4 linked regions of the Oryctolagus cuniculus genome follow. The protein of the gene in region 2 binds, or shares a complex with, the protein of the main gene of each other region. Links are inferred from orthologs where the notes say so. Each region holds a gene or a part of one and is shown on either strand. Other genes may lie near its edges. The genes, in order: HJURP, CENPA, NTMT1 and CENPC.

Region 1 (6,537 bases), on a different chromosome or scaffold from region 2:
GGCACACGCAGGTCACTACCGCAGGAAGCCGCCAGCCCCAGCTACACAAACTCACCTTCTCTTCCCCGCTGGGTGGTCCGGGCCTGGGGAGTCCCAGGAGTCGGCCTGGGGTGCGCGCAGCTGGGGGTCTGGCAGCCTGCGGCGCTTCGCAGGGGACCAATGGTCGCCCCTGGTGGCTCCAGCAGACGCCCCGTCCTCCACTGCGCTCGAGCCCAGTGCGCCTCTTCTGTGCCACTGGGCTGACAGCGACAACTTCTGGGACCGGGAGTCCGGGTTCGGTTTTCCCAGGACATCGTCTGTCCGGTGCCGGGCCTGCGCACTTGCCGTGTCTGGAGACGCTGCGCCCGGCCGCGGTGCCGTGCTGCAGTACTCCCGATGCAGCTTGTCAAACTCTTCTTTAATCTCATCGTAACGATTCCTCCCGCAGCCCAGAGGTTCTGTCCTGGGTCCTGGAACAGCTCCGCCGGGTGACGCCGCCTTCCTAAGCGGGCCAGGGCTGCTTCCCGGGACAAGGCTCCTCGCCTGCTGCGGGCGGCCTGGGCTCGGCACGGGGCTGGGCCCTGCAGGCAAGGGAGAGGGACCGTCCTCTGGCCGGCCTTGGCCTGAGTCCACGGATCTGCCCAGGCGCTCGAAGGCCTCCCTCAACGTCTTGCCCTTCGCTCTCACAGACAGACCCGGCCTGTGGGTTTCGAAGCTCCAGGAACCCCCTGGGCTCACCGGCCCGCCGCTGTACAGGCCCACGGCCCAGGAGTCCGCGAGGCCCGTGTGGCGAGGCTGTCTGCCGGGGCTCAGGGCGTACTCCCGATGCAGTCTCTCAAATCGGACCCGGATCTCCCTGTAGCGCTCCCCGCGGGGGCCCTGTGGCGTTGCCGGTCCAGAGATGAGCTTCACAGGGGAAAGCAGCCACTGCAGCATCCCGAGCCTGCGCTCCCGGCCCAGGGCGCGCACCGCTCCGACGTCCGAGCCTGCCGGAGCCGAGTTCCTCCGTGGCGTCAGCTGCAGCTCCTTCCAGCCCGGATCGGACGTCTGCACCTGGGATTTGTTGCCTTCAAGACAAGCCCTTTCCAATTTAAAACCCGCCTTACGGCGAGAAACATCGAGTAGGTTCTCGCAGTCTCTCAGTGGTCCCGCACCCGGCTCCGGCTCCGGCCCCGGCAGGGGTGGGTGCAAGGAGCTCCCCCGGGAACGCCTGCCCGCCTCGCAGTACGTCCTGTTCAGCCTGCTCCTCCACCTGTGCCGCCGCCTGCAGCTCCAGGCTTGAAGCACAGACGCTCTGGTGGAGATGACGCACGCCGGCTTTGCACTCAGCAGCCGGCTCATGGAGCGCAGCATCCCCGCGTACAGCTCGCTGATGGTCACGTCGCACAGCTCCTCAGCCGCCCAGGACCGGCCGCTCCCGTCCGTCCCCAGGGAGCAGAGGCTGTCGTCTTGGTGTTCCGTGCCCGTGTCTGTGGAGCCAGGATGCAGGGGGCACTGCTCCTGGGGCGGCGAGGCCGGCTTAGCCGGGCCCCCGGGGCTGCTTCCAGAGACCCCACCACGGCACCCTGGGAGAAACACACAGTCACACGTCCCTGTGCAGACATCATGGAACTCGAGGCCGGACCGCGACCTTCTCAAAGCAACGATGACAATAATGACAATGACAATGATAATAAGAAGCCCCAGGTTCCGAGGGAGAGGTTCCTTTCCAGGCATCAAAACTAGACTCTTGCTTTCCCACCCCGGGACTGACCTGGAACCTGCTGTCTTCGAGAGCTCACTGGAAGGCAGGAGGTGCCCACACACTTCCCGCCAGGTTGGGCGGGAGTGAGCTAAGCATCCCGAATGCACTGCTTCGCGCAGCTGTGACTTCTGCAGGATGCAAAATGCTTTATGTATTGGGAAAAAAGTGTCACGCTCACTAAGCAGAAGGGGAGGAGGGCGAGAGGTGCCGCCCCTGCGGGGCTCCTGGGCTCTGGACAACCAGCCAGGTGAGCACGCTTTACTGCGGTGATGACCCAGAGGGATGGACATCGAGTCGGGGAGGGCCGGCGCTGTGGCGCAGCAGGTTAGCCCTCCACCTGCAGTGCTGGCATCCCATGTGGGCACCGGTTCAAGTCCTGGCTGCTCCACTTCTGATCCAGCTCTCTGCTATGGCCTGGGAAAGCAGTAGAAGATGGCCCAATCCTTGGGCTCCTGTACCCACATGGGAGACCTGGAAGAAGCTCCTGGTTTTGGCCTGGCCTAGCCCCAGCTGTTACAGCCATCGGGGAGTGAACTAGACGATGGAAGATGTCTCTCTCTCTCTGCCTTTCAAGCAAGTAAATAAATCCTTACACAAAAACAAGAACTGATGGGCACAGCTAAAGGACACGGAGGCCAGCCTGAGGGGCTCCCCAGGCCCAATCCAGGACCGCCGGAGCACTGGCCCGGACGCCAGCAACAAAACACGACATGAATTTAAAAACGGCCCGCGAGTCCTGATTCTGAGACAGTAAACACCTGAACCCTGAGCGTGCAGAGGAGACACAGTGAGGGGACAGCCCCCCTACGCAGAGCAAAGCTGACCACGGAGCCACCAGCCTTGGCCACCATCGCCACTGCACGCCAAAACCACTGGGTGGAAAAGGCCGCCACAGACGGCACCCAGGGCTCTTGAGCAGGCCCCACCTCAACTAAACCACCGGACCCAAAGGCCAGCAACGATGGGACAGGCTGGCCGGAACCTGCAGGGCTCACAGCACCACCCAGCGAGCGCGTGTGCCAGCAGTGCTCCCACGAGCACAACCCCAGGAAACAACCAGGCACCTCCACGCCCAGGGCCGCCCTGCAGAATGACAGGCCTGGACCGCTCCAGAGAGCCAATGCCGGGGGGTGCTGCGGGCGGGGGGGGGACAGCTGAACAGTGAGGGACCCACAACTCGACCCGCACACACACAGCCACACACACACACACGGCTACGACAGACGGGGCAGGTCCTGTCAGTGTCAGTGTTTCATGTCTACCATATGCTCAGCTTCTTACACTCCCCTGGGGGGTGCCCTGTTCTTAGGGGACAGTGTGCACATGGATGTGCGTCCACGTGCGCGTGTGCACAGGACGCAGCTGGTTTGACAGGAGGGTCCCTGTGGCGTGCAGGGCAGCCACGCCCACCGCACTGCTCCTGTGCCCGAGTGAAGGGGATGGGCCACACTCACCAGGGGCAGGCGTAGCCGGCCGGGCCAGGGTCTTGTACGTGTCCTTCCCGTCTCTGAGAGCTGCTCTCTGAAACGAAAGCCAACAATCGCGAGAGCTGTCAGGTGCCGAGGCCCTGGGCGCGTGGAGCCAGTGCAATGCCTCCCCCGAGGGCGGGGTAAGGAGCTGCTCCCCTTTCAACACACGGCGGGCAGCAGCGGGGCGGTGTGGACAAGCACGTGGCCGTGACACTCCCAGCAACATCTAGCAGTCCACATGGCTCCAGGGACTCCCTCCCCCCACGGGAGGGCTGGTGGCCTCTCTTCACCATCCACTGTGACAGCAAGCACCTCACGGCAGCTGGTGACGGGCGATGACCCCCGGGAGCTGCCCCGCCCTCCAGTCCCCTGGCCAGGTCACACAGCAACCGAGAGGACGCCACTCGCTGCGGGCGGTGGAGACAGGCCCCTCCAGGACCCGTGGTGCTGCCGCGGCCGCAGGCACGGCAGGACCTGTGCTGGGAGAGGGGTGCTCTTCATCGTGCCGGGCCCTGCCTGCCTGCTGGGAGCCAGGGCGTCCTCCTTGGTGTGAGTGACGTTGACAGAAGGCAGGAAGCTGAAGAGGTGACCCCTGTGTCCCTGCACTGCCAGGCTCCGTTCCGCGGGCAGAGCTCCGGGAGCAGCTGCAGGGTAACGGGCGCTCAGGCATCCAGGGGCCTCCTCCCTTCCCACCAGAACACGGACCCAGGGCAGCTGGGACGAGCCGGAGCCCCTCACACCAGGGAAGGGGGGCTCTGGTCCCTGACTGTGCAGCTCAAAGCCGCTCTGCCCAAGAGCTCGAGCCCCACGCACGGCCCCAGATTTCTGCAGTGGGCAGCGGAGGGCACACCCCCAGGGCTCCGGCCTCCAGCAGCTGCCCCGGTGGTGCTGCCCCAGGGCAGGGGAGGTCTCAGAGCCTGGAGCCGCCCTGGCTCGGAGCAGTAACACGGGCACAGCGCGTGCAGGGCGCCCTCCGCTTACGGGAGCCGTCCTGGCTCTGAGCAGTAACACGGGCACAGCGCGTGCAGGGCGCCCTCCGCTACGGGAGCCGTCCTGGCTCTGAGCAGTAACACGGGCACAGCGCGTGCAGGGCGCCCTCCGCTTACGAGCTCAGGGCACCCAGTGCACCAGGCAACACATTACCTCAAAAAACTCCGCGTCTTGCAGCAGTATATCCACTTGGGTCAAATACTTCCTTCTCAACTCAACTTCCAAAGGGCCCTGGGGCGCTGCGGGCTGACGGGGGAGAGGCGGTGTTGAGAAGGCTGACCCGGTGAGCTCTGGACTGACTGGCAGGCTCAGAACGCACAGCTCCCTCCACCGGGCTGTCCCGAGTAACCTCTCCTCCCACCGTGCCAGAGGTCCAGCCCCTCTGTGCTCCCCCGGCCCAGCAACCTGGCCCTAGGTCGGTCACCCAAGTACAGTTTAATAAATAAGTCTGGCGAGGTTTATGACAGCGTTCCTGGAACAGGAAAACACCCGGAACAACCTCCCAGGAGTTCAGGGCCCAGCGCCAGGAGTGAGCCCTGGCCTGTAAGGAGACCATGACCAGCCCAGGAGGCCAGGTGGCTGGCTCCACAGCCCTGCTCCACTCCTGCACCTGCTCGGGGGAGGCAGGGGTGTGGGACCAGGAGGTACCAGCCACTTGCTGGGGCAGGGCCAGCACCCCACTCCTCTGGCTGAGGACACCCTGCCTGTCCCCCAGCCCTGCAAGATATTTACAAAGTGCCCCCCCCCCCCCACGCTGAATCACTGCCTCTTCTCCTAAAAGTGCCACGTGGGTGCCTGGCCACAAACCTGCACCCAAAAGCAATCCCGTGGTAAAACCAGACGCCAGCTCTCACGGTGTCTGACGGCAGGCGACCGGGGCTGGGAGACGCCTGTGTGCACCCCACCCCCATTCCCGACCCGCAGGAAGGCGAGATGGCAGGTGGCCTCTGTGACCCGCGGGGCACAGGGGAGACCACCGTACAAACACCACTGTTGACGTGGTGCCAGCTCGCAGGTCACATGAGCTCGCGAGGGCCAATCTGGAAGCGCTGGCTAGAACACCCCCTGGTGGGTGACAGGCTCTGGGCAAGAACTCGGAACCCTGCATTCAAGCCTGGGGGCTCAGTCCAGGCAGGGGGGACCACGCTGCCAGGTGAGTCGCCCCACATCACTTAGAGCCACGGAAACCAGGCGTCACGGCCAGCCTGAGAGGGAGGCACGTGCTACCTCAGGGGGCCTCAAGGGGGAGCCAGAGAACGCGAGGCCTCAGGCCGCCTGCCGTCCCTGGCGCACACAGTTCTCACCACCACAGCCCGGGCAGCCGCAGCCTCCCGCTCCGGAGACGCATCCACATCGCTGCCTTTGGAGCCTGAAAGAAAGAAGGAAGGAAGGAAGGAAGTCGACGTCAGAGCTGCGGGGAGCCTGCGTGTTCCCCTCCAGGACGGTGCCTGTGCCGCCTGGAGGATGGAGCAGGTGCTACTGTGAAAACCTCACGGCCTCGGGAGCGGCCCTGAGGACGGGGCCCCGCGTGGCCGCCCACGGAGGGGGCGACCCTGAGGACAGGGCCCCGCGTGGCCGCCCACGGAGGGGGCGACCCTGAGGACAGGGCCCCGCGTGGCCGCCCATGGAGGGGGCGACCCTGAGGACAGGGCCCCGCGTGGCCGCTCACGGAGGGGGCGACCCTGAGGACGGGGCCCCACGTGGCCGCTCACGGAGGGGGCGACACTGAGGACGGGGCCCCGCGTGGCCGCTCACGGAGGGGGTGACCCTGAGGACGGGGCCCCACGTGGCCACTCACAGAGGGGGTGACCCTGAAGATGGGGCCCCGCGTGGCCGCTCACGGAGGGGGCGACCCTGAGGACGGGGCCCCGCGTGGCCGCTCACAGAGGGGGTGACCCTGAGGACGGGGCCCCGTGTGGCCATTCAATGAGGGGTGACCCTGAGGACGGGGCCCCGCGTGGCCGCTCACGGAGGGGGCGACCCTGAGGACGGGGCCCCGTGTGGCCATTCAATGAGGGGCGACCCTGAGGACGGGGCCCCGCGTGGCCGCCCACGGAGGGGCGACCCTGAGGACGGGGCCCCGCGTGGCCGCTCACAGAGGGGCGACCCTGAGGACGGGGCCCCGCGTGGCCGCTCACAGAGGGGGCGACCCTGAGGACGGGGCCCCGCGTGGCCGCTCACAGAGGGGCGACCCTGAGGACGGGGCCCCGCGTGGCCGCTCACAGAGGGGCGACCCTGAGGACGGGGCCCCGCGTGGCCGCTCACAGAGGGGGCGACCCTGAGGACGGGGCCCCGCGTGGCCGCTCACAGAGGGGCGACCCTGAGGACGGGGCCCCGCGTGGCCGCTCACAGAGG
Region 2 (7,074 bases):
TCAGCCACGCGTGCCGCCGCCGTCTGTGCTGCGAGGCCGCGCCTGCAGAGGTGTGCGCGGGGTCAGCAGGGGAAAGCGGGGTGGGGGAGCACACACAGAGCATTGAGAAGGTGGGGGAGGGGAGGCCACCAGAGGGGCTTGAGCCAGGCAGCTGACCCGGGTGGGGTCAGGAACAGGGAGGACGCACAGGCTGACCCCGCCTCGTCTCCACCGCCCATCAGCAGCCTTCACACACAAGGCCCGGCGTCACACAAGGTGAAGAGGGACACGACGAAAGGTCACCACACGATCTGAGAAAGGACACCGCGAGCGGAAGGAACCCAACTCAACAGAAAAACCACTCCGGAGGAATCTGAGGTAGCAGAGAAAGGAGAGCCCTTAAATACAGGCGATGACCTCAGAGGGGCGAGACAGGAAATCCGTGATGCGAATACGTGAGAAGCGACCAGGGAAAGCTCACGGGGAAGAGCCGGGATCAGAGATGCAGTCAGCTGTGTGTGGAGAGCACTGCCACACCACAGTGCTGGGGTTCAAGTCCCAGCTCCGCACCTGAGCCTGGCACCCTGGAAGGCAGTGGGTGATGGCTCAAGGGGTAGGTCCCTGCCACCCATGAGGGAGGTCTGGATTAAGTTTCCTGCTCCTGGCTTCGACCTGGCCCAGCCCCCGCCCTTGCAGGTATTTGGGGAGTGAACCAGTGGATGACAGCTCTGTCTTTCAAATGAATTTCACAAATCAGAACATGCAGCAGCTGGGTCTTGAAACGCCAACATAAGGAGCTGGGATTTAATCCTAAAGTGACCGGAAGCCAGGGAAAGTGTTCAGGAAGAGAGAGGAAAAGCTGATCTACTTCCGGGTTAAAGATCCTCTCAGGGGCTGGCACTGAGGTGCAGTAGGTTAATCCTCTGCCTGCAGTGCTGGCATCCCATATGGGCGCCGGTTCTAGTCCCGGCTGCTCCTCTTCCAATCCAGCTCTCTTCTGTGGCCTGGGAAAGCAGTAGAAGATGGCCCAAGTCCTTGGGCCCCTGCACCCATGTGGGAGACCTGGAAGCAGCTCCGGGCTCCTGGCTTTAGATAGGCGCAGCTCCGGCCATTGCGGCCATTTGGGGAGTGAATCAGCAGAAGGAAGACCTCTTTCTCTGTCTCTCCCTCTCTCTGTCTGTAGCTCTACCCCTCAAATAAATAAATAAAATCTTAAAAAATAAAAATAAGACCCTCTGGCGCCGTGTGCGGAGAGCTGCAGAGGGGTGGATGGAGCAGAGCAGTGGTCAGCAGGCTCCCACGTGGTGGCTGCCGGCTTGCCCTGGGCTGCTCGGGGCGGAGATGGAGACAAGTGGGGTGATGACAGACGCAGTGCGCAGGCAGAACTGCTTGAACTTGCCTTTGGATTGGATATGGGGGTGACAGAAAAGAACGTCTCCCTGCTTCTGGCTTGAACCCTGGGTGGGTGGCGGTGCCATTTACCAAAACGGGGCAACTGGACAAGGGGCTGCAGGCGTCGGGGCTGGGATGTGTGTGACTCGCCCAGGGCACTCAGGTAGGAAGGCAGCAGCACAGGGTGCGGGAGAAGTCTGACAGCAGCCACGGGCGCCCGGGGAGGAGGCAGAAAGGGAAGGCAGCCCTGCTGGCCACGGTCAAGGAGCCGCAGAGGGCGGCACCAGCGTGGAGGACACTGGGAACCGCCAGAGCGTGCGCAGGGCCGGCCGGGCAGCCAGGAGCAGGGTGTCGCAGGGCTCTGAGGGGCTGGGTGAGGAAGGCACAGAGGTGTGGATTAGCCCTGGCAGCGTCGTCAGTGCAGCTGGGGACAGCGACCGGAGGGGAGCGGCTCTGGGGTCAGAGCGGAATGGGTGCAAGGGTGGCTGGGAGATGGGGAACAGACACAGTGGGTGGACACTAAACAAGCCTCTCTACAAGGGCAGCCGTTACAGGAAGTGGAGGGATCCCGGCGCCAGGAAGACTGGAAACGCGGCGTCAGGGAAACACCTGCTCTTCAAGGTTCACTTATCTGCAAGGCAGCGACAGGAAGGGGAGGCAGACTCCCTCTGTCCTTTAACTTTCTTTGCTGGTTCATTCCCCAAATGTCCACAGCAGCCCAGGGCTGGGCCAGACCAAAGCCAGCAGCCTGGACCTCCATCCAGGTCTCCCTCATGGATGGCAGGGACCAAGTCCTTGCGCCGTCACGGGCTGCCTCCCAAGGTGCATGTTAACAGGAAGGTGGAATCAAAAGCAGAGCTGAGACTCTGGGCCCCAGGCACTCTGATGTGGGACGCAAGCTCCGTCTCTAACCACCGCGCCAAATGCCCACCCCCCTGCCCTTGTCCTTCAGATTGCAAACACTAGAGCAGATCCGCCAAAGCCAATGTGAGTCTGGGTTTAATTTTAAGCGCAGGAGAAGACAACAGAAAGACCCTCTGCAGGTGCATATGGATGGGAGCTGTGGCTTTTTAAATATACATATACAAAGATTTTACTAATTTGAGAGCCAGAGAGAGTAAGAGACAGAGAAAGGTCTTCCAGCTGCTGGTTCACTCCCAAATGGCTGCAATGGCCAGAGCAGGGCCAATCCAAAGCCAGGAACCGGGAGCTTCTTTAGGGTCTCCCACGCGGGTGCAGGGGCCCAAGGACTTGGGCCATCCTCCACTGCTCTCCCAGGCCACAGCAGAGAGCCGGATGGGAAGTGGAGCAGCTGGAACATGAACTGACGGCCATACGGGATACCACACTGCAGGCAGAGGCTTAGCCTGCTACACCACAGCGCTGACCCCAGGAGTGGCTTTTGACAGAAAAGCAGGACACTCCAGCGGGGCCACTGTCAGCGAACAGTGGAAGGGTGGTGCTGCAGGAAGCTGGAGAGGAAGAAATGGAACTGCCAACGTGGAGAACGAAAAAGCAAGGCTATCAGACAAGGGCAGTGTTGTTGGGTGCCCACTTGAGCTAAAAGTTTCCATTTAACCAGGAGTAGAAGAGGCATTTTTTACATTGGACAGCAAAAGCAAACATCACACCTGATATTCCCATTAAAATTACAAACAAGGGCCGTCAGCATCCCATCAGGGCACTGTTCCAGCCCCAGCTGCTCCACTTCCGATCCAGCTCCCTGCCAAGGCTCCTGGAAGGCAGACGATGATGGCCCAAGTGCTTAGGTGGCTGCAGCCCAGGAGGACGACCCGGATGGAGTTCCAGGCCAGTTCACCCTGGCCCAGCCCTGTCTGTTGCAGCCACTTGGGGAGTGAACCAGTGAGTGGAATCAATATACCTCTTTCTCTGCTTCTCCTCCTCTGTCACTCTGCCTTGCAAATAGATACATTCTTAAATAAATAAATACAATTCCCAACAAGACAAAAACGGGCAAAACCCTTGCTCTTACAGTTAGTCTCAGGGCCTCACTAATGCCATACACTAAGTAATAAAAGGTGAGAATTTGAAAAAGGCGGACACGGACTTGACCACGTGCAGGACATAGTAGTCTACCTAAGGTTCCGACTGCGGGACTGTCAGGATTAAGGAGCACTCAGGACTAAGCACTCCGGTCTCAGGGAAGAATGTCCCACTCTCACAGCACCACGTCCTAAAAGGCAGTAACCTCTACACACGTGTCCCACCCTGCTCCTGGCTATGCAGCAAGTTGGAGAAGAGGGAAAGCTGCTGTCGCCAGCACGTGTAGGACAGACCCGCGCCACGGCCCGCTGCAGGGTCCCGAGCCCCCCACCCCGCCCCAGCGCACACTCCAGCAACTGGGGGTCACGCCGTCCGGACGGGGTCGGGGCGGGCGCGGTTCAAGGCCTGACGTAGCCTCGCTCAAAGTGGACAAACTCGGGTCCAGAGCGTGCACGAGCGCGCGCGCGTGGCCGTGCCCAGGGCACCCGGCCCGTCTGCGCCTGCGTCCCGTGAGCCGTAGAGCGGGCCCGGAGTGGCGCCGAGACCTCGCGTGGACGGCACCCCCGCCGCGTCCCCCAGGGAAGGGCCGCGGCCGGTTACCTAAGGAGACGCTCCGCCGGCGGGGGCTGCGGGTCGGGCTCGGGCTGCGCCTCCTCGGGACCTCCGGCTTGCGGCTCCGGCGGCGCGGGCCCATGGCGGGCCGCCTCCGGCCCCGAGGCTTCTGCTCGGACCTCCCGGCCCCGGGGGGGAAGGCTGGCGCCCGCAGGGAACCGGACAACCGCCCGAGCCGCCCGTGTGGCTCTAGGAGTCGGTACTCCGGCGTAGGCTGCGGCACCTCCGGTTCAAATCGCCCGCTCCGCCCACTCCATCGCCGGCGTTTTTTAAAACCCCAATCCAGCGACTCCCAGTGGCTGTCTCTGGAACGTCCGGGTAGAACGACCGCGGGAAGAACCAATGAGAACACGAGCTGAGACACGGAGAGCGGCGCTGATAGGCAGAGAGCGGGGAAACATGACGGATTGACGACAGAATCGACCAATGGGAGGTTGGGAAAGTAAAGGGAGGCGGGGTTTCTCCAGGTCTTTGCTTGGTGGGAGTGCCTGTCCTTGAGGGATGGCTTCAAGGGCTCTTTGATCTGAAAAGGAAGCGGTGGATGGTGCGTTTGTAGAGTCTGTCCCTCCAGCTTTCGCCCAGGCTTTTCTCAGCCCTAAGAGGGCTTTAAAGATGAGCCAACAGACCCGTAGCGAACGTGACAGCCTCCTGTCGCGCTTGTGTCCCTCCCTGGGGGGCAGGGCTTCGAGGCCAGCGCCACCGCGTGTCCGTGACAGAGGGTGAGGGTCGTGGGGGCGGCCAGGCCCGGGCGCTCTGAGCCGGGGTCCGGCCAGGCAGGCGTCATTGCCAGTCTAGGACCGTGGGGACGGGTTCGCCCCAAGGGAAGCGATCTCTCGCCTGTCTGTGGGGAACAACACGAATTCCGGTCGTGTCTCCGTGCTTAGGAGAGGGAATTTTAATTTCCTCATTTTGCTGTCTTGGATTTTCCTAAAATGTGCTACAGTGAACATGCACTGTAATCAGGAAAATTGCTGGTTATAAAATCAGTGGTTTCATGGACCCTCAGGCGCTGCTGATGGGGCCATACAAAACCGTAGGCAGCTGCTGTGCAAAGTAGTGTGGTGGTTCCTGAAAACAAGGAAACCGTTTCCCCGTGAGCCAGCAGCCCCGCTGCCCCGCTTCTGGCTGTACATCCAAAAGGAATGAGAGCGGGAGCTTGGACAGGGCTTTGCACACCCAAGCTTTGTTCACAATAGCTCAAAGGTCGAAGCGTAGTATGTACAGTGCAATGCTCAGCCCGACAAAGGAAGGAAATTCTGACCCATGCAGAAACTTGGATGAACCGGGGCCTGCACCTTCGCGCAGAGGGTTAAGCCACCAGGCGCTGCCTGCCAGGATGGCATGCCATATAGAAGTGCCGGATTGAGTCCCAGTTGCTCCACGTCCAATCCAGCTCCCTGCTGATGCGTCTGAGAAGGTAGCAGAGGAAGGCCCAAGTGCCCGAGCCCCTGGCATCCACGCGGGAGACCAGGATGGATGACAGCACACCTGGCACAGCAGGCCGGGGCCCCAGATCCCAGCGAGGAGAGAGCAGCCTGGCTTAGTCTGCTGTAGGGACTCACTTCCACCTGCCCCTCTGCCTGGGGCCAGGCCTGTTAACCTGAACTTTTGCTTGACCAGCTGCCGGTCTTCATCTACCCTTTTTCTTCTTGTTCTGTCTTTTGTGATTGGAGTAAAACCAAAACTCCAGCTCCTGCATTTAAAAGAAGGACGAATAGCGTAAGCGCGTTGAAAGGACAATCTATGAAAATCTGCAGATCAGATCCATTTAAGACGCGTTCCGCATCTGTTATGAGTGAAGTGTAAGGGGTGTGAGGTGCTAAGGATCATGGGTACTCGGGACATGGTTCCTGTCCCCAGCAGTTTGTAAAGGCTGAGGAAGCAAGGCACAACGTGCAAGTCCCACGACCGGCAGCCTCTGCCGAGTGTGGACACAGTGCCAGGCGCTCCTCCAAGTACTTCACGTAGTCACTCGCCTGAGCCTCTCAACAACCTCAGGTGGGATTTCGTATTTTATTTATTTTCATTTGAGTTGAAAGTCAGAGAGAGAAGGCTAGAGAGAGAGACTTCCATCTGTAGGGTTATTTCTCAAATGCCCACAACAGCTGGGGCTGGGCCCAGGCCAAAGCTGGGAGCCAGGAACTCAACCGAGGCCTCCCACACGGGTAACAGGAACTGAGCCACTTGGCACCATCTCCTGCTGCTCCCAGGGTCGGCTTGAGTAGGAAGCTGGGGTCAGGAACGGTGGCAGCCGTGGAACCCAGGCCCTCTGTTGTGGGACGTGATGTCCCAACAGGCCCCTAACCCACTAAGCCAATCCCGTGTCCTGCTAAGACTTTCTAATGCCAGTGTTGCAGATAAGGAAACCAAGGCCTTGGTGGGGCCACGCAGGGAGCAGACTCAGAGCTGAGTTGGGATTTGAACCCAGGTACCTGGTGCTATCGTCTACTCAGTCCCCACACTGTGTAGACTCTCATGGTATTGTTCTGTTAATAATCTTTCCTGAGGTTAGGGGATGGTTTTAAAACCCTAGGTAATCAAAGGTTCGGGAGGTGGGGGTTTTGTTTACCATACGAGGGAGGATGCCCGTGTCGCACATCAGAGTAGCCGGGTCGTCTCCCAGCTGTACCTCCCGATTGCTCCCGGCCAGATCAGACACTGGGAGGCTCAAGTCACTGGATTCTTGTCACTCACACAGGAGACCTGTGTTGCGTTTGTTTCGGGCTCCCGACTTGGCCCGCAGCCTAATCCTGGCCCTTGTGGGCATTTGGAGAATAAACCAGCAGATGGCAGCTCTTTCTGTGCGTGTCCATTGCTCTCTCTTTGCCTCTCAAATGCATAAATTAAAAAAGAGAGAGAGAAAGGGTTGTGTTGGTGGCACACAGGGAAAGTGCACCAAGGGGAAGGGAGGGCCGTGGCGTTGGAGCCTGTGCCCGGCTCCTTGCGTTCTCAGGGAAAGATAAAAGGCAAGCACAGAGCCTCCTGCTGAGCCCGAGCTGAGCAAAGAGCTCTCTTCTGGCTTCCAGGAAGTCCCTGAGGGAGTCAGATCTCGGGAGCCACCCGGGGCGCGGGCACGTAGAACGTGGG
Region 3 (7,112 bases), on a different chromosome or scaffold from region 2:
CCAGGCAGCGCGCCCGGTCTGAGTGTCAGACCCTCCCTCCCACCCCGTGTCCACGAGGCTTCCTGCGACCGCGGGGCATGGCTCCAGGGTGGCCGGCTGCTGTCACAGGCACCTGCCGTGGGGTCGGCAGCCGGGGCACGGCCCAGCCAGGCGCCGGGACCACTCAGCCACAGCCTAGCCCTTTCATCTCAGTTTCACAAGCCCTTAGAAAACTCACGTTTCCGTCCCAATAGTTAAGCTGTTGGTCACTTAAACATTTCCCAACAACTGGCCTGGCCTGGCCCAGGTAAAGCCACTGCTTGCCACACCAGCGTTCCCCAGTCTGAGCGCTGGTTCTAGTCCCGGCTGCTCCACTTCCCATCCAGCTCCCTGCTGATGCACCTGGCAAAGCAGCAGAGGATGGCCCAGTGCTTGGGCCCCTGTGCCCACGTGGGAGACCCGATGGAGCCCCTGGCTCCAGCCTGGCCCAGCCCCGGCCGGTGTGGCCATGTGGGCAGGGAGCCAGCAGACAGCTCTCCTTGCTTCTCTGTCCCTCTGCCTTTCAAATAAATCTTGAATTGTGTTCAACAAGAACTACCCGCAGTGGGCAGCGACAGGCATTCCGCAGGGCCCGGGCAGGGCCACAGGAGCAGGACCCAGCTCCCAAGGCCCGCGGGGAGCCTGAGCGGTGGGCGGGGCCTCACCTATCACCCACTGGATCCAGATGACGTCGTAGGAGCCGGGCGCGGGGCTGAAGTCCTGCAGGCCGCAGCAGAAGTAGTTGCGCACCCTCTTGCCCTCCTCGCCCAGGTAGGTCTTGGCTTCAGCCAGGAAGCCCTCCGTCACGTCCACCATGTCCACCACTCGGAAGAGCGGCAGGAGCAGCCGCTTGGTGATCCTCCCGATGCCAGCGCCGCAGTCCAGCGCGTAGGACGTCCCCGTCTTGTTCGGGCCGTCCTGCAGAGCACAGCGGGCAGCCTCCTAGCAAGGGGCCTCCCTCGTGGGCTCGGCAGGGGCCACGAATCGCCTGCGGGGAGGGCGGGGGCTCCCTCCCACACCAGTGGGACAACTCGGTGCACTGGTCTCCTGGCTCCTGGGACCCCAGCGAGGGGACAGAGGCTGGGAAGGGGGAGAGGGGAGGGGAGGGAGGGAAGGGGGAGAGGGGAGGGGAGGGAGGGAAGGGGGAGAGGGGAGGGGAGGGGAGGGAGGGCAGGGCAAGCAGCAGCCTCCGGTGCTCCCCGAAGACCACAGAGGGAGGAGGGGCGGGCAGCACTGTGCAGCAGAGGACGGCCACCGCTCCACCCGGGAACCTGACGGCCAGCACCACAGGCGGCGCTGGCCACGGCCCTGTGGCGGGAGGCGCCCAGAGGTGCCGGCGGCCCGCACGGAGCCAGCACAGCTGCCTACCCTGAGGAACCGCTGCAGGAACTTGCGGGAGCTGGTGATGTCGATGCTGGAGATGTGGCCGTACCCCCCGAGCATGCCGTCCACCGTGGGCGGGACCTGCCTCCAGTACGTCTCGGCCCTGGAGTAGAACTGCTTCTCATCTTCGATCACTTCGCTCGTCATGCTGGCGCCAGCCCCGCCTCAGCGCCCCTCCTGAGGGGGGGGAGGGGTGAGCCGCCCCGCCAGGCGCCCCACACCGGCAGCGCGGGCTCCCTCCCGCAAATCAGAGCGAGGCCCAGTGTCCGGCCTCTGCCGCCATCCTCGGCGTGACCCCGACTCCGTGGCTTCTGGCCCCGGAGAGCAGAGAACCCGGGATTAAGGGAGAGGAGGACGCGGCAGGACGCTTCGGCCCGGCTGTGGACACTCCTGCTGACCCGGGAAGCCCTTGGCCCTCCCACCCCAGTCATGAGCGGGAGACGGCCAGGCAGAAAAGCAGCCACACCTGGGACCCACACAAGTGAGGTGCGGGAAGGGCGCCCCCTAGCGGTGGCTGGCCAGGCAGAGGGGCTGCAGCTCCCAGAGGACAGGGCGGGCGGAGCACGCAGCCCAGTGCCAGCTGGAGCCCGGCTGCCTGGCTCCGGACCCAGCTTCCTAATGCACCCAGGAGACGGTGCGTGGGCCCTGGACCCACGTGGGAGACAGGGTGGAGCTGCTGGCTCAGACCTGGTTGCTAGCGTCATTTGGGGAGTGAACTAGCAGATAGAAGCTTTCTCTCTCTCTAACTCTGGCTTTCAAAAAAGAAAGAAAAAAAAATAGACCCCCCCCCTCCCCCCAGAGGACCACTGTGGGTCTAGTTTAGAATTTAGACTTTACCTTTAACGAGCAATGAACTTGGGGCTGGTGCTGTGGCGTTGCGGGTAAAGTCGCCACCTGCGGCACTAGCATCCCATATAGGCACTGGTTCGAGTCCCGGCTGCTCCTCTTCTGATCCAGCTCTCTGCTATGGCCTGGGAAAGCAGTGGAAGATGGCCCAACTCCTTGGGCCCCTGCACCCGCGTGGGGGACCCAGAAGAAGCTCCTGGTTCCCGGCTTCAGATCAGCCCAGCCTTGGCCGTTGTGGCCATTTGGGGAGTGAACCAGCGGATGGAAGACCTCTCTCTCTGTCTCTCCCTCTCTCTCTCTATAACTCTACCTCTCCAAAAAATAATCTTTAAACAAACAAAAAAAAGCAGTGAACTTGAGACAGATCTGTGCTTCTGCAGCCTGCAGGGGTGGACGCTGATGCGTGAGGGAGACCAGCCACGTGGCCAGGCAGGGGGCCCCACCAGCCCCTCCCACCGGCCAGTGGGAAGACGGCGTCTTTCCCAGGACACTGGCAAGGTCAGGGCACCATTCTGGGTGCGGTGGTGGGCTCACGGGCCCCCTCTGCTTGCAGTCCGCACTGAGGAAGAAAATCGGAACCAACTGGAACCCACGGCAGGAAGACGAGGGTTCCCGGGGTCGGAGAGCCCAAGGACGGAGGGGCCCTTTCTGAACGGTGGGCGGGGGTGGGGGCACGGCAGCGGCAGAGGAGTGTGGCTGAGCCTACGGAGGACAAGACGGGCCAGAGGCTGGGCCCCCGCGCCCGGGTGCACAGCTGGCGGCACACGGAGACGGAGCGCCTCAGCGCCTCCCCAGGCGCCGGCACCTGAGGCGGCAGAGGCGCCGGCGGCCACGACACCCGTCACAGGGACAGGGCAGGCAGCGTGCGAGTGCTGCTGACACTGATGGCCCCCCCCCCCCCCCCCCCGTGCAGCCAGCGCGCCCTGAGGCAGGGGGCGCGCCCACCCAGGTCCAGGGGCCTTGTACCCAGAGGGCAGCACCTGCAGCCAGTCCGCCACTCGCCGAGCGGCCGTTAAACGCGGGAGACCGTGAGCTCCGCGCAGCTCTGGCCGCTCCCCACATCTAAGAAAATCCCCAGCACCCAGGACGGGGACGCCGAAGGCCCTTCCCGACAGCGATTTTTTGCTTTACCAAAAGCCTCACACGACGGGATGCCTAGACGTACAGGAAATCCACTCACGCAGACGCTAGGAGTGCGCCAGGGCGGCCGCTCACACGCCTGCCCCGAGGGCTCGGGCGCAGGGTCTCTAACCCGCGCCCCAAGCCTGTGGGCTGGAGACGACCGCAGGCGGGGCCTGATCAGAGGCGGGCAGGGGCCCACCTGCCAGGGCCCCGCAGGGTGGGAGAGGCCAGGTCTGCCAGCCTCGCTCGGACCCCGGGCGTCACTCTCCCTCGGCTGCATGGCTCCGGGAAGGCTGAAGTGAGCACAGGGCCGGTGCTGTGGCCTAGCGGGCAAAGCCGCCGCCTGCAGCGCCGGCATCCTGTATGGGCGCCGGTTCTGGTCCCGGCTGCTCCACTTCCCATCCAGCTCTCTGCTGTGGCCTGGGAAAGCAGAAGATGGCCCGAGTCCTTGGGCCCCTGCACCCGCGTGGGAGACCCTGAAGAAGCTCCTGGCTCCTGGCTTCGGATCGGCCCAGCTCCCGCCATTGCGGCCATCTGGGGAGTGAACCCGCGGACGGAAGATCTCTCTCTCTCTGTCCCTGTCTCTACCTCTCTCTCTCTCTGTCCCTGTCTCTACCTCTCTCTCTGACTTTCAAATAAATAAATTTTTAAAAAGTGAGCACGAAGAAGCTGAAAGGCCGAGGCCAAATTCCCCGCAGCTGAGATTCCCCGCAAACCGCGAGCGCCGGGCACCGCTAAGACGGCGTGGCCGGGGCGGCCTGGGGCCCCTCGCAGGGCCGGAGCGCCAGGGCAGCCCCCGAAGGGAGCCACGGGCGCCCAGGTCCCTCCCGGGGCTCGGCCCGCCCCCTGGGTCATCATCCCACGCTCCCCACCCGCGGCCACTCCGCCACGCCCGGGCTGTGCGGACCGAGAGAAAGGGTCACACGGCCGCTGGGCAGCGCGGCCTGGGCTCCCGGACACGGCCGCCTCCCCGAAAGCACGCTGACCTTGGCCCCGGCCGGGCCGGGGTCAAACACGACAGCAGCCGCGCTGCCCACGCCCACGCCGGGGAGCGGCCCTCCGGAGCCCCACTGCCCGGAGGGGCTCCGCCGCGGCCCCGGCCCCCTCTGCCCCGGCCCTGCCCAGGTCAGCCCCGCCGCCTCCCGGGGACGCGCACGTGGGGCCCGCGCCGGGGTCACGTGACGAGCCGGGCCTCGCCGCCCCGCACCGCACCGCGCTACTCACCCCGGGCGGGGGCTCCCGGGGCGCAGGAGGAGAGGGCGGGGACGAGGACAGGAGGGCGGCGGCGGCGAAGACCCCCTCCCCGACCCCACGGACCCGCCGCAGCTCCGGCACTCCACGACCAGCCGCAACGGCGGGCGGCGCGCGCTGCCTTTGTCCGCCGACGTCACTTCCGGGCACGGGGCGGGGCCGCAGCTGGCTCCGCCCGCGGCCGGCTCGCCCCGCCCCGCGGGCTCCGGGTGCGCTGCGGGCCGTGGGGGGCTCGCGCGGCGTGGCCGTCTTTCCGCGCCCGTCTGGACTTGTGAGGACGAGAATTCTGTGGGCTCTCCTTTGAGGAGAAAGGGAGAGAAGCCATTGTCTTCGGTGCAGCCCATCCCCACTGGCACCTTAAAGTGATATGCGATGAGAGAGAGAGAGAGAGAGAGAGAGAGAAGGAAGGAATTCCCTTGGCGGAGCTAAGGGGTTTCCAGCCCAAATAAGCATTTCCAGGGCGTAAAGTTGGCGGTGCGAGGCTGGCCTTGGCGCACCCGCGTCCCCCATCGGAGCTCCTGGGTCTGAGCCCTTGTCCACTCCGGGCTCCCCCTCCGCGCTGATGTGCAGCCCTGGGAGGCAGCAGCTGGTGGCCCAAGTGGCTGGGCCCCTACCGCCCCCGTGGGAGACCCGGATGGGTGGCGTTCAGGGCTCCTGGCTTCAGCCTGGCCCGGCCCTGGCTGTGGGGGAGGCGTTTGGGAATGAGCCAGCGACAGGTCTGTGGGTCCGGGTCTGTCTCTGCCTTTGCAGCAGATAACTGGCATTTTTGTTTAAAGTCGCCCATTTCTGACATTCTGGACCGGTCCCGAGGCAGCGGGCTTGCAGGGCCCTGCTCTGCCGTGAGCGGTGCTGATGCCGTCAGGGTGCAGCCTTGACATCACGCCTGGCAAAGCCCAGAACTCGGGAAAGGAAAGCTGTGGTCACGCCACATCCACCTTAGGTGGACACACACCCTGGGGTCACGGCCGCACAGCCTCCTCTGGCGAAGCACACAGGAGGTGCCTGTAGTGGGAGCCAGGGCGCGGGGGAGCTGACCATCGGCTGACGAACACCCGCGGGGACCTCCCCTCGGGCTGTCCCAGGGCACACGCGGGTTCCAGGATCTGAGCCTCCCTCCCCAGCGTCCTCTTCCCCGTCTCTAGGAAAAGGGCGTAGACCCTGGGCAACTTCTTGGGCTGGCGCCTGCATCCTCCTGGGGAGGGTTCTGCTCCCAGCCCTCCTGCACCCAAAGGCCCAGCCGTGCCTGGTTACCTGGCGGGGGGCAGGACCCCCCACCACACGCGCGCGCACGCTCAGTGCAGGATGCCTCCAGGCCAGGCAGACCCCTGGCCGTGGAGCCTCTCCCAAGCCTCGCACATAGTAGGCACTCAGTAAATGCAGAACACGAGGGCTGTGGGGCTCCCTAGACAGCACCTGTGACAGCAGCATCCCACTGAGCGCCGGTTCCGGTCCCGGCTGCTCCACTTCTCATCCGTCCCTGCTAACGCATAGGGGAAAGCAGCAGGGGGGGCCCCACATGGCTCCTGGTTTTGGCCTGGCCCAGCCTTGGCCATTGTAGCCATTTGGGAAGTGAACCAGCCAATGAAATCTCTCTCTCTCTCTCTCTCACTCTAGCTCTGCCTATCAAATAAAATAAATAAATCTTTAAAAAAAAGGAGAGAGACCATCTGATTTGTCTGATTTTCCTCACCCATCTAGAAACCTCACCCTTTAAATGCAAAGTTCTGAGTCCCGAGGAACGCACTGGCGGCCAGCTGGGAAGCAGTTCTAGAACACGGAGCCCAGCTCCTGCGAGGGCCTCATCCCGAAACTTGAACTACGAAGTCATTTTTTTCATTTTCAGATTATGAACTTTTTAAAAATGTTTATTTATTTATTATTTGAGAGGCAGAGTTATAGACAGAGAGGGAGAGACACTCCCCCACAGCCAGGAGCTGGGCCAATCCAAAGCCAGGAGCTTCTTCCAGGTCTCCCAGCCCTTGGTGCAGGGCCCAAGCACTTGGGCCATCTTCCACTGCTTTCCCAGGCCACAGCAGAGAGCTGGATCGGAAGTGGAGCAGCCGGGACTAGAACCAGCGCCCATGTGGGAGGCTAGCGCGCAGGTGGTGGTTTTACCCGCTACGTCACAGTGCTGGCCCCAGATTATGAACTTGGACAATGCCAGTGACATACTTGTCCACCCCACCCTTGCCTCTCTACCCGCTGAGTTCCCCCACGGAGCCCTGGGGCGGGAGAAACCTGTGCATCATGACACAGCCGAGAAGCAGAGCAGGGACTTGGGGTTGGTTCTTGGCCTCCAGGAAGAAGGAGAAGTCCTACTTGCATAGCTACCCAGACAGGACCCACCAGAGCTCCCAGATCTCAGGGGCCCCCTGTGACCAAGCCCCGCCCTCCACCCCAGGCTTGGGGGCTCTGTTCCTCAGATGGCTGTGGGTGGGGCGCGGATCACAATGACCCTGCAGAGGTGCAGGGGGCACTGGCGAGGGGCTGGC
Region 4 (7,092 bases), on a different chromosome or scaffold from region 2:
ACCCCTCCCCTCTGCCTCTCCTCTCTCTGTGTAACTGTGACTTTAAAATAAATAAATAAATCTTTAAAAAAATTAAATAAGTAAACAAAGGAACTCTGGTTCCTTTGTTTATAACACTTTCTGTGTCTGGAATGTACTTTACCTTATTCTTTACCTATCTAGTCAATATTCACATAGGTTATGTTACAACTTTTAAAGCTTTTCTTAATAACAATATCCCAGTCCCTTCCTAATGTCTTTCTTGGCTACCTATATGCAAATTAATGCCTAATTATATATAGGCCTACTCTCTATGATGTGCAAGATAGGCCTCTGTTATTATATTATTACAAATAATACTTTTGTTCATTAAATTATTTTGCAAATGTACATATACATTCCCATAGGAATGTAAGCTCCTTATAGGAAAACAAAAAAACATATTTCTATGCTCCACTAGCTCTAGCAAAATCAAGGCTCAATGAACATTCGGTTTTTGTTAATAACATCTTCACTTTAAAAAGCATGCTGTTTGAGGCCAGCACCGTGGCTCACTTGGTTAATCCTCCTCCTGCAGTGCCAGCATCCCATATGGGCGTCAGTTCTAGTCCCGGTTGCTGCTCTTCCAGTCCAGCTCTCTGCTGTGGCCCAGGAGGGCAGTGGAGAATGGCCCAAGTGCTTGGGCCCCTGCACCCTCATGGGAGACCAGGAAGAAGCACCTGGCTCCTGGCTTCGGATCAGTGCAGCACCAGCCGTAGCGGCCATTTGGGGTGTGAACCAACGGAAAAGGAAGACCTTTCTCTCTGTCTTTCTCTCTCACTGTCTATAACTATACCTGTTTAAAAAAAAAAAAAAAGCATGATGTTTACACTAACATTATTAAATATTTAGAGATTTTACAACTAAAGGAAGAACCAAAGCAACCCAAATAAGTACCCAGCAAATAAATGACATCATGCACAATTTTTCATTTTTCCTACTGAAAATAAGCTACATCTGTATAATATTGCCATTCAATCCATTCAACACAGTGTTTTCCCCATGGATGTCATTTAGTCAGAACTGAGTTTCCTCTTTCTAGTCCACCACTTTGACACGTAAATTTCTTTTCTCCCTGCCACTAAGCCATTATATTCCTTGTGTTGTTATTTTTATTAGAATAAAGCAACTAAGATGTCTATACTTAATAAGTGGACATGGATATTACTACTTTAGTCATAACTTATAATTTTCCTTTCTTTATTTAAAATCTACTTTCTGATGATGGGTACAGAAATCATCTTAAAAGCTAAGTCTATAAATCACCTGGAAGGCCGGCAAAATCTTCGTCTGTAGTCATTTTTGAGATGATCCTGAAAGAAAAGTTCATCATCAATTTGATCTTTTTGTTTAAAATATAATGAGGTATCACTTATCTTCAAAGTAATTCCACCCCAATAAGGGTATGCCAGAAAATTTCAGTTCTTCATTTATTCACGAAGCATTTGTTAACTGCCTGGCATAAACACTACAAAAGGAAATTCATTTGGATCAAGTAAGTAAAAGAGAACCATACTTTCTATCTACTGTTTTTAAAAACTTCATGTATATGAGGGTACTTCAAAAGAGTTCATGGAAAATAAAATTAAAGATAAGTTAACTGACTTTGGTACAAAATACTTTTAAGTTCATACAGTTTTTCATAATATGTATATCCCACACACTTTGTGAAATACCCTTGTACTACTTCCAGTTCCACCCAAAGTCCATTCCATTTTATTCCTCCTCTTCTTCCACCTGCTCCCATACTTTTTCCACCATCAAAAACCTAACTTTCAGGTCATCCAAAATCCAGGCTGGCTAACTAATATCTCCTGATATCCCTTCCCTGAAGGAAGTGCCCACTAAATATAAAATGCAGAACTAAAACAGCACCAAACAACAGTGAAAAAAGAAGGAAAGAGAGGACTACATGGGGAGAAATTTAACAAACTTCTGGAAGACTGAAAAGAGATAAAGCATGATAACTGATAAAACAGAATAACATTAGTAGCAGCCCAAAGTAAGCTCAGGCAATATTGCACTAAATGATGATGGAAGCTGATCTACCCAGGAGAAAGCCATAACCATGTAGTACTGGGAAACCTGAGATCTGAGGGATGCAAGGAGTGACAAAAAGGAGTAACAGACAACTGGAAAAAAATCTCTACCCAGAACAGTAGGCCATTCTTCCCCTAGCCTCAAAAACAGAGCCTCCAGAAGCACTCTAGCGCTACTGACCAGAATCTCCCTCCCTCTCTGACACTCTGCCTTACAAATAAATTTTTTTTTAAAAAAGTGGGTTTTATTCATCTAAGCTCTTAGATCTAGCTTTTTTTTTTTCCTTTTTTTGTTGTTGTTGTTGTTGACAGGCAGAGTGGACAGTGAGAGAGACAGAGAGAAAGGTCTTCCTTTTTGCCATTGGTTCACCCTCCAGTGGCCACCGAGACCAGCGCACCGCGCTGATCCAATGGCAGGAGGCAGGTGCTTCTCCTGGTCTCCCATGGGGTGCAGGGCCCAAGCACTTGGGCCATCCTCCACTGCACTCCCTGGCCACAGCAGAGAGCTGGCCTGGAAGAGGGGCAACCGGGACAGAATCCGGCGTCCCGACCGGGACTAGAACCCGGTGTGCCGGCGCCGCAGGCGGAGGATTAGCCTAGTGAGCCACGGCGCCGCCGGCCCTTACAAATAAATTTTAAAAGCTAGAGAAGGTGGGGTCGGCCTGTGCCGCAACAGGTTAAAGCCCCGGCTTGCAGCACCAGCATCCCATATGGGCGCTGGTCCATGTCCCCGCTACTCCACTTCCGATCCAGCACCCTGCTAATGTGCCTGAGGAAGCAGTGGAAGACGGTCAAGTCCTTGGGCCCCTGCACCCATGTGGGAGACCCAGAGGAAACTCCTGCTTGGTTCCAGATCTGTCAGCTCAAAGCTCTAGCAGTTGCAGCCACTTGGGGAGTGAACTAGTGGGTGGAAGACCTCTCTTTCTCTCTCTCTCTGTAACTCTTTCAAATAAATAAAATACATTTAAAAAGAAAAGTTGGAACAGTAAAATTTTCATTGAAAATAAACTTAGCAAGCTCACAAATAGCAATTTCAATTTATCTTTCAGTGGACTTAAACTTGAATTTCTTTTCACTGTCAGATTATGATTCTTTTTTTTAATAACTTTTTTTTTTTTTGACAGGCAGAATGGAGAGTGAGAGAGAGACAGAGAGAAAGGTCTTCCTTTTGCCGTTGGTTCACCCTCCAATGGCCGCCACGGCCGGCGCCGCACCGATCCGAAGCCAGGAGCCAGGTGCTTCTCCTGGTCTCCCATGGGGTGCAGGGCCCAAGGACTTGGGCCATCCTCCACTGCACTCCCGGGCCACAGCAGAGAGCTGGCCTGGAAGAGGAGCAACCGGGACAGAATCCGGTGCCCCGGTGCCGGCGCCGCAAGGCAGAGGCTTAGCCTACTGAGCCACGGCACCGGCCAGATTATGTTTCTCAAAGCAAATATGATACAACAAATGGGGTTTCCCAAGCTCCATCCCCCCGGTCCCCGCTCCCCAGCACACTGACCTCTGGGGATGGAGGATTCTGCGTCCCGGGGACCTAAACTCGCACTACAGAAGCTTAGCAGCACCCCTGCCTCCACCCACTCTGGGCGCTGCAGCGCTCCCTCAATCGCCCTACCCCTCCCCGCCTGGGGACACCCTAAACTTCCTCTAGACGTCGACAAATACCGCCTAGCGGACAGCGCTGCCCTCCTCTGGGAACCACTACGGTGCAGGAAGGGCTGCAGACCCCCTGCCAACTCCCCTCACCTCGTCCTTAAACAGGGTATGGCACAAAGTCAGACCTTAGAACAGTGCTACACTTAGGACAGGACCTCCTCTCCCCCGGGAGAACAGCGTCACTGTTTCTTTTTCCCTGACCCTGCAGAACGTAAACAACGCATGCGCTCCTTGGAAACCTGCACACTAACCTACCCTTTCATGCACACTTAAGTTTACCCCCTGAGACATCACTAAAGGAGGGGATAGATTAGAAGACACCAGTGTAGGAAGAGACGATACGGGTTTTACATGTACAGGAACCATAAGCAACCTGTGAAAAGACAAAGCAAGGAGTCCAGACACACAGAAGTAAGATGTGCTTCCACCCACGCCGGTCCTAAGAGCTGCCTTCGGGGACACTTCATCAACAACCCATGTCCCACGAAAATCGGCCTCCAAAACCGCCCGCGAGGCGCAACGTTTTGCTTAAGTAAACGGGAAAGTCTGATTATCTCGAGACAAACTTCATCCTCCAGACCAGCCGGTCTGCAACGCAGGCGGACCTTCAGGCTGCTTCAGGGCCTGCACTCCGCGCACGAACGGAATCGGGGGAGGGAACGGAGCGAAGCTGCAAAGTGGAAACTGGATTTCCTGACGAGAACCACAGGCGCAGCCCCAGCTCCCCTCACCAGACCTTCAGCAAACAACGCAGTCGGTCAACTCCGGCCATCGGCAGCCGATCGCAGCGGACTGCAGACGCCCGCGCCGCTGGCCCGGCCCTGCGACCACCCCCCGCGCCCGTCCGACGGCTCCCCGGGCCCCAGCCGCTTTCCCGCAGCGGGCAGGGGCAGGGCCCACACTCACCAGCCCCGACGCCGCCATGTTCCGGCCCCGCTCCGCCCGCGCACGGGCTCCGAGGCAGACGCCCGCACGGGCCGCGGCTCGGGCAGTGTGAGCGCGGACCGACCCGGCCGCCCGCCGGCGACACTACCGCCCACGACAGCCCCAGAGACAGCTGGCAGCGGGCGCTCGCTGCTGCAAGCCCATCAAGGCGCGCTTCCAGAAGCCCCCGCGCGCTCCGGGGTTTGAAACGGACGGCACATGCGCAAAGCGTACGGCGCCGCCCAATAGTAAGAAAGCCGTTAGGGGCCCGCCCCTCCTTCCCTCCGCCGCGTCTCTGCGTTCCTCGCTCTCAGGCCTACGAGTGGCGCGGGCGGGCTGTTTTTGGGGGACGGCGGGGCCTCCGTGACTGTGCCACCCAGCGCCGCGTTGTGGCGCTGTTCCGGGCGTTTTCTTAACGATGTAATAGGAGTCTAAACTGCTCTGAAGACTTCCTCCTACCTAACTAGTGTGTGAAGTCTGGGACACTGTGTTCCATTGTTATGATTTAATAACTACAAGAAAATGGTACTCCAAAGAGTTGGCCTGCTGAATAAATTCATGAATCAGGAGTTAATGGTCTTTTAAAACTTGTACTGCTTTAACAAATGCTGTCACCTGTTGGAAGTTATTTACATATGTATTAGAGAAGAAAGAGGGGTTATGAACTCTGAAGTCCAAGTTCAAATGTCTGGCTTCTACTCTACTAATTGTCCGTTCCTCAATTCTCCTGGCTGTAAAATGGGAATAATATTGAGATTTTGGAATCAAATTCTGGCAATTCCTATGAATACTGGAAAAGAGGGGTTGCTGGGTTCCCAATCCAGCTTCCTGCTAATGCACCTGGGCGGGGGAGGGTGGCCCGCGGGCTTGGGCCCCACACCCAAATGGGAGACCTGGCTGGAATTCCTGGCTCCTGGCTTCAACCTGGCACAGCCCTGGCTGTTGTGGTCGTTTGGGGAGTGAACCAGCAGATGGGAGATATATTGCTCGCTCGCTCTCTCGCTCTCTCTCCCTACCCCCACCACTCTGTTTTCTGTTTTCTAAGTAAATAAATAAATTTCAGTAATAAAGCTATTATATCATTATGGAGGTGTTTTTTTTACTGTATGTGGCAATTTTACCAATTGGTATATATTATGTGTGTAATTGAGTGTTGTCACATTTGGAATAGTAAAGCTAACATTCATGGAAATATAGTACCTGTCGAGCTCTGTAGATGTTTCACATGCATTTCAAGCATATAGAACACCCCTGTGAGAGAGCCATGTTTCGATTTTATAGACAAGGGACTTAGGTGAGGTGCCCAAGATGATGCCACCACTATGCAGAGCTGGCTTTTAACTTGAAAACTCTGACTCTAGAACTCTTTTAAACTCTTTGTTTATTTGAAGGGGACAGGAGTGCACAGGGAGATCCAGGCTGGGCTGGGGCTGAGCTGGGGCCAAAACCCAGAGCAGGGAAGTCTGGCTAGGTCTCCCACTGGGAGTGGCTGAAACACTTGAGCTGTCACCGCAGCCTCCCAGAGTCTGGGTATGGAATCCCGGTTCTCCAGTATTGGACCTGGGACTCTTAACTGGCTTTCCAGCCACAAGGCTAAATGCCCACCCCCGGGACTGGGCTCTTAATCGCTACACTCTTTGCCTCTCAGTGAGAAATTTTAGCAAGCACAATCACAGATGTTAGTCCCACATGTAAAATTATATCCCACTTCCACCAGAAACAGGAACTTGCACAATTGTTTTGAGAAAGGTGAAATGCAACGGTTTTGCTGTTGTAGAATGCAGGACGCAAATGATGGTGCAGATGAAGCACTCGAGAGAGAAAATGGAGTGGCGTACTTGTGAAAACAGTCAGAGGAACTCCACATTTTCCAAAGAAATTTTTCAGCTCCATCTGTTCTAGTACAGTTGGCCAAAACCCCATCATGGTTTTAGTATGCTAAAAATAGAATTGCACATAATTTAGCACAACTACCAGACATAGGTAAGGAGTGTGTGTGTGTGTGTGTGTATGTATCAGTCAGTGATAGTATAGGTAACTAGATACATACAGAGAAAACAAAATATTCAGAAATTAAGTTTGGAAGGGAAGTAAAAATTGTAGCTACTTAGGACTTTAGGTCATTTAAAATTTGAAAATATTAAAACTAGTTCAAACAATATTTTATGTTAACTCCTTGACCTTCATCAAAGTATTTGGTTAACCAAGTCTCTTCAGTTGCAAGCTTCCATACAGAAATAGAAATCACAGCACAGAAACATTCACAAGTGAACTTAAAGTGAACTTAACCACTTAAAGATTAGTCCACATTCCATCCCACACCACAACATAATACAAGCATCTGTCCTGGTGAGTTGGATAAACAAGTTTTAGTACATTGGTGCAGGGTAGTACTCTTAGCAATAAAAACACTATGGATGAAGGGGCCAGTACTGTGGCATAGCGGGGTGAAGTCGCA

What was found.
Region 1: the proteins of CENPA (region 2) and HJURP are in contact, whole or in part, in a crystal structure (PDB 3R45), measured with the Homo sapiens proteins. The link is inferred for Oryctolagus cuniculus from reciprocal best matches to the Homo sapiens genes CENPA and HJURP. Residues at the interface, in NP_001800.1 of Homo sapiens: Lys64, Leu65, Ser68, Arg69, Arg72, Asp83, Phe84, Asn85, Trp86, Gln87, Ala88, Gln89, Leu91, Leu92, Ala93, Glu96, Ala97, Ala100, Phe101, His104, Glu107, Asp108, Leu111, Leu112, Leu114, His115, Ile132, Glu136; in NP_060880.3 of Homo sapiens: Glu14, Asp15, Leu18, Lys21, Leu22, Ser25, Arg26, Arg28, Phe29, Arg32, Met33, Leu36, Lys39, Tyr40, Pro43, Phe44, Thr47, Pro48, Val49, Val50, Gln51, Met52, Ala53, Thr54, Leu55, Ile65, Trp66, Gly67.
Region 3: the proteins of CENPA (region 2) and NTMT1 are in contact, whole or in part, in a crystal structure (PDB 5CVD), measured with the Homo sapiens proteins. The link is inferred for Oryctolagus cuniculus from reciprocal best matches to the Homo sapiens genes CENPA and NTMT1. Residues at the interface, in NP_001800.1 of Homo sapiens: Gly2, Pro3, Arg4, Arg5, Arg6, Ser7; in NP_001273725.1 of Homo sapiens: Tyr19, Trp20, Met30, Leu31, Gly32, Tyr34, Ile37, Trp136, Asn168, Ile175, Asp177, Asp180, Asp212, Glu213, Ile214, Tyr215.
Region 4: CENPA (region 2) and CENPC share a complex: the UniProt entries of both Homo sapiens proteins name them as parts of the CENPA-NAC complex. The link is inferred for Oryctolagus cuniculus from reciprocal best matches to the Homo sapiens genes CENPA and CENPC.

Annotation. Positions count from the first base shown.
Region 1 is NC_091434.1:5,615,473-5,622,009, reverse strand, and holds part of HJURP (Holliday junction recognition protein), read right to left. Parts: intron 5,552-6,537; coding exon 5,487-5,551; intron 4,429-5,486; coding exon 4,336-4,428; intron 3,839-4,335; exon of another isoform or gene 3,245-3,838; coding exon 3,178-3,244; exon of another isoform or gene 1,545-3,177; coding exon 56-1,544; exon of another isoform or gene 1-55. UniProt on the Homo sapiens protein: Centromeric protein that plays a central role in the incorporation and maintenance of histone H3-like variant CENPA at centromeres.
Region 2 is NC_091433.1:176,096,046-176,103,119, forward strand, and holds the start of CENPA (histone H3-like centromeric protein A), read right to left. Parts: upstream 4,254-7,074; 5' UTR 4,070-4,253; coding exon 3,976-4,069; intron 43-3,975; coding exon 1-42. UniProt on the Homo sapiens protein: Histone H3-like nucleosomal protein that is specifically found in centromeric nucleosomes. Replaces conventional H3 in the nucleosome core of centromeric chromatin that serves as an assembly site for the inner kinetochore.
Region 3 is NC_091432.1:232,538,385-232,545,496, reverse strand, and holds the start of NTMT1 (N-terminal Xaa-Pro-Lys N-methyltransferase 1), read right to left. Parts: upstream 4,777-7,112; 5' UTR 4,594-4,776; exon of another isoform or gene 4,590-4,593; intron 4,517-4,589; exon of another isoform or gene 4,356-4,516; intron 2,412-4,355; exon of another isoform or gene 2,373-2,411; 5' UTR 2,239-2,372; intron 1,579-2,238; 5' UTR 1,549-1,578; coding exon 1,387-1,548; intron 937-1,386; coding exon 684-936; intron 1-683. UniProt on the Homo sapiens protein: Distributive alpha-N-methyltransferase that methylates the N-terminus of target proteins containing the N-terminal motif [Ala/Gly/Pro/Ser]-Pro-Lys when the initiator Met is cleaved.
Region 4 is NC_091439.1:97,738,310-97,745,401, reverse strand, and holds the start of CENPC (centromere protein C), read right to left. Parts: upstream 4,904-7,092; 5' UTR 4,635-4,903; coding exon 4,617-4,634; intron 1,332-4,616; coding exon 1,285-1,331; intron 1-1,284. UniProt on the Homo sapiens protein: Component of the CENPA-NAC (nucleosome-associated) complex, a complex that plays a central role in assembly of kinetochore proteins, mitotic progression and chromosome segregation.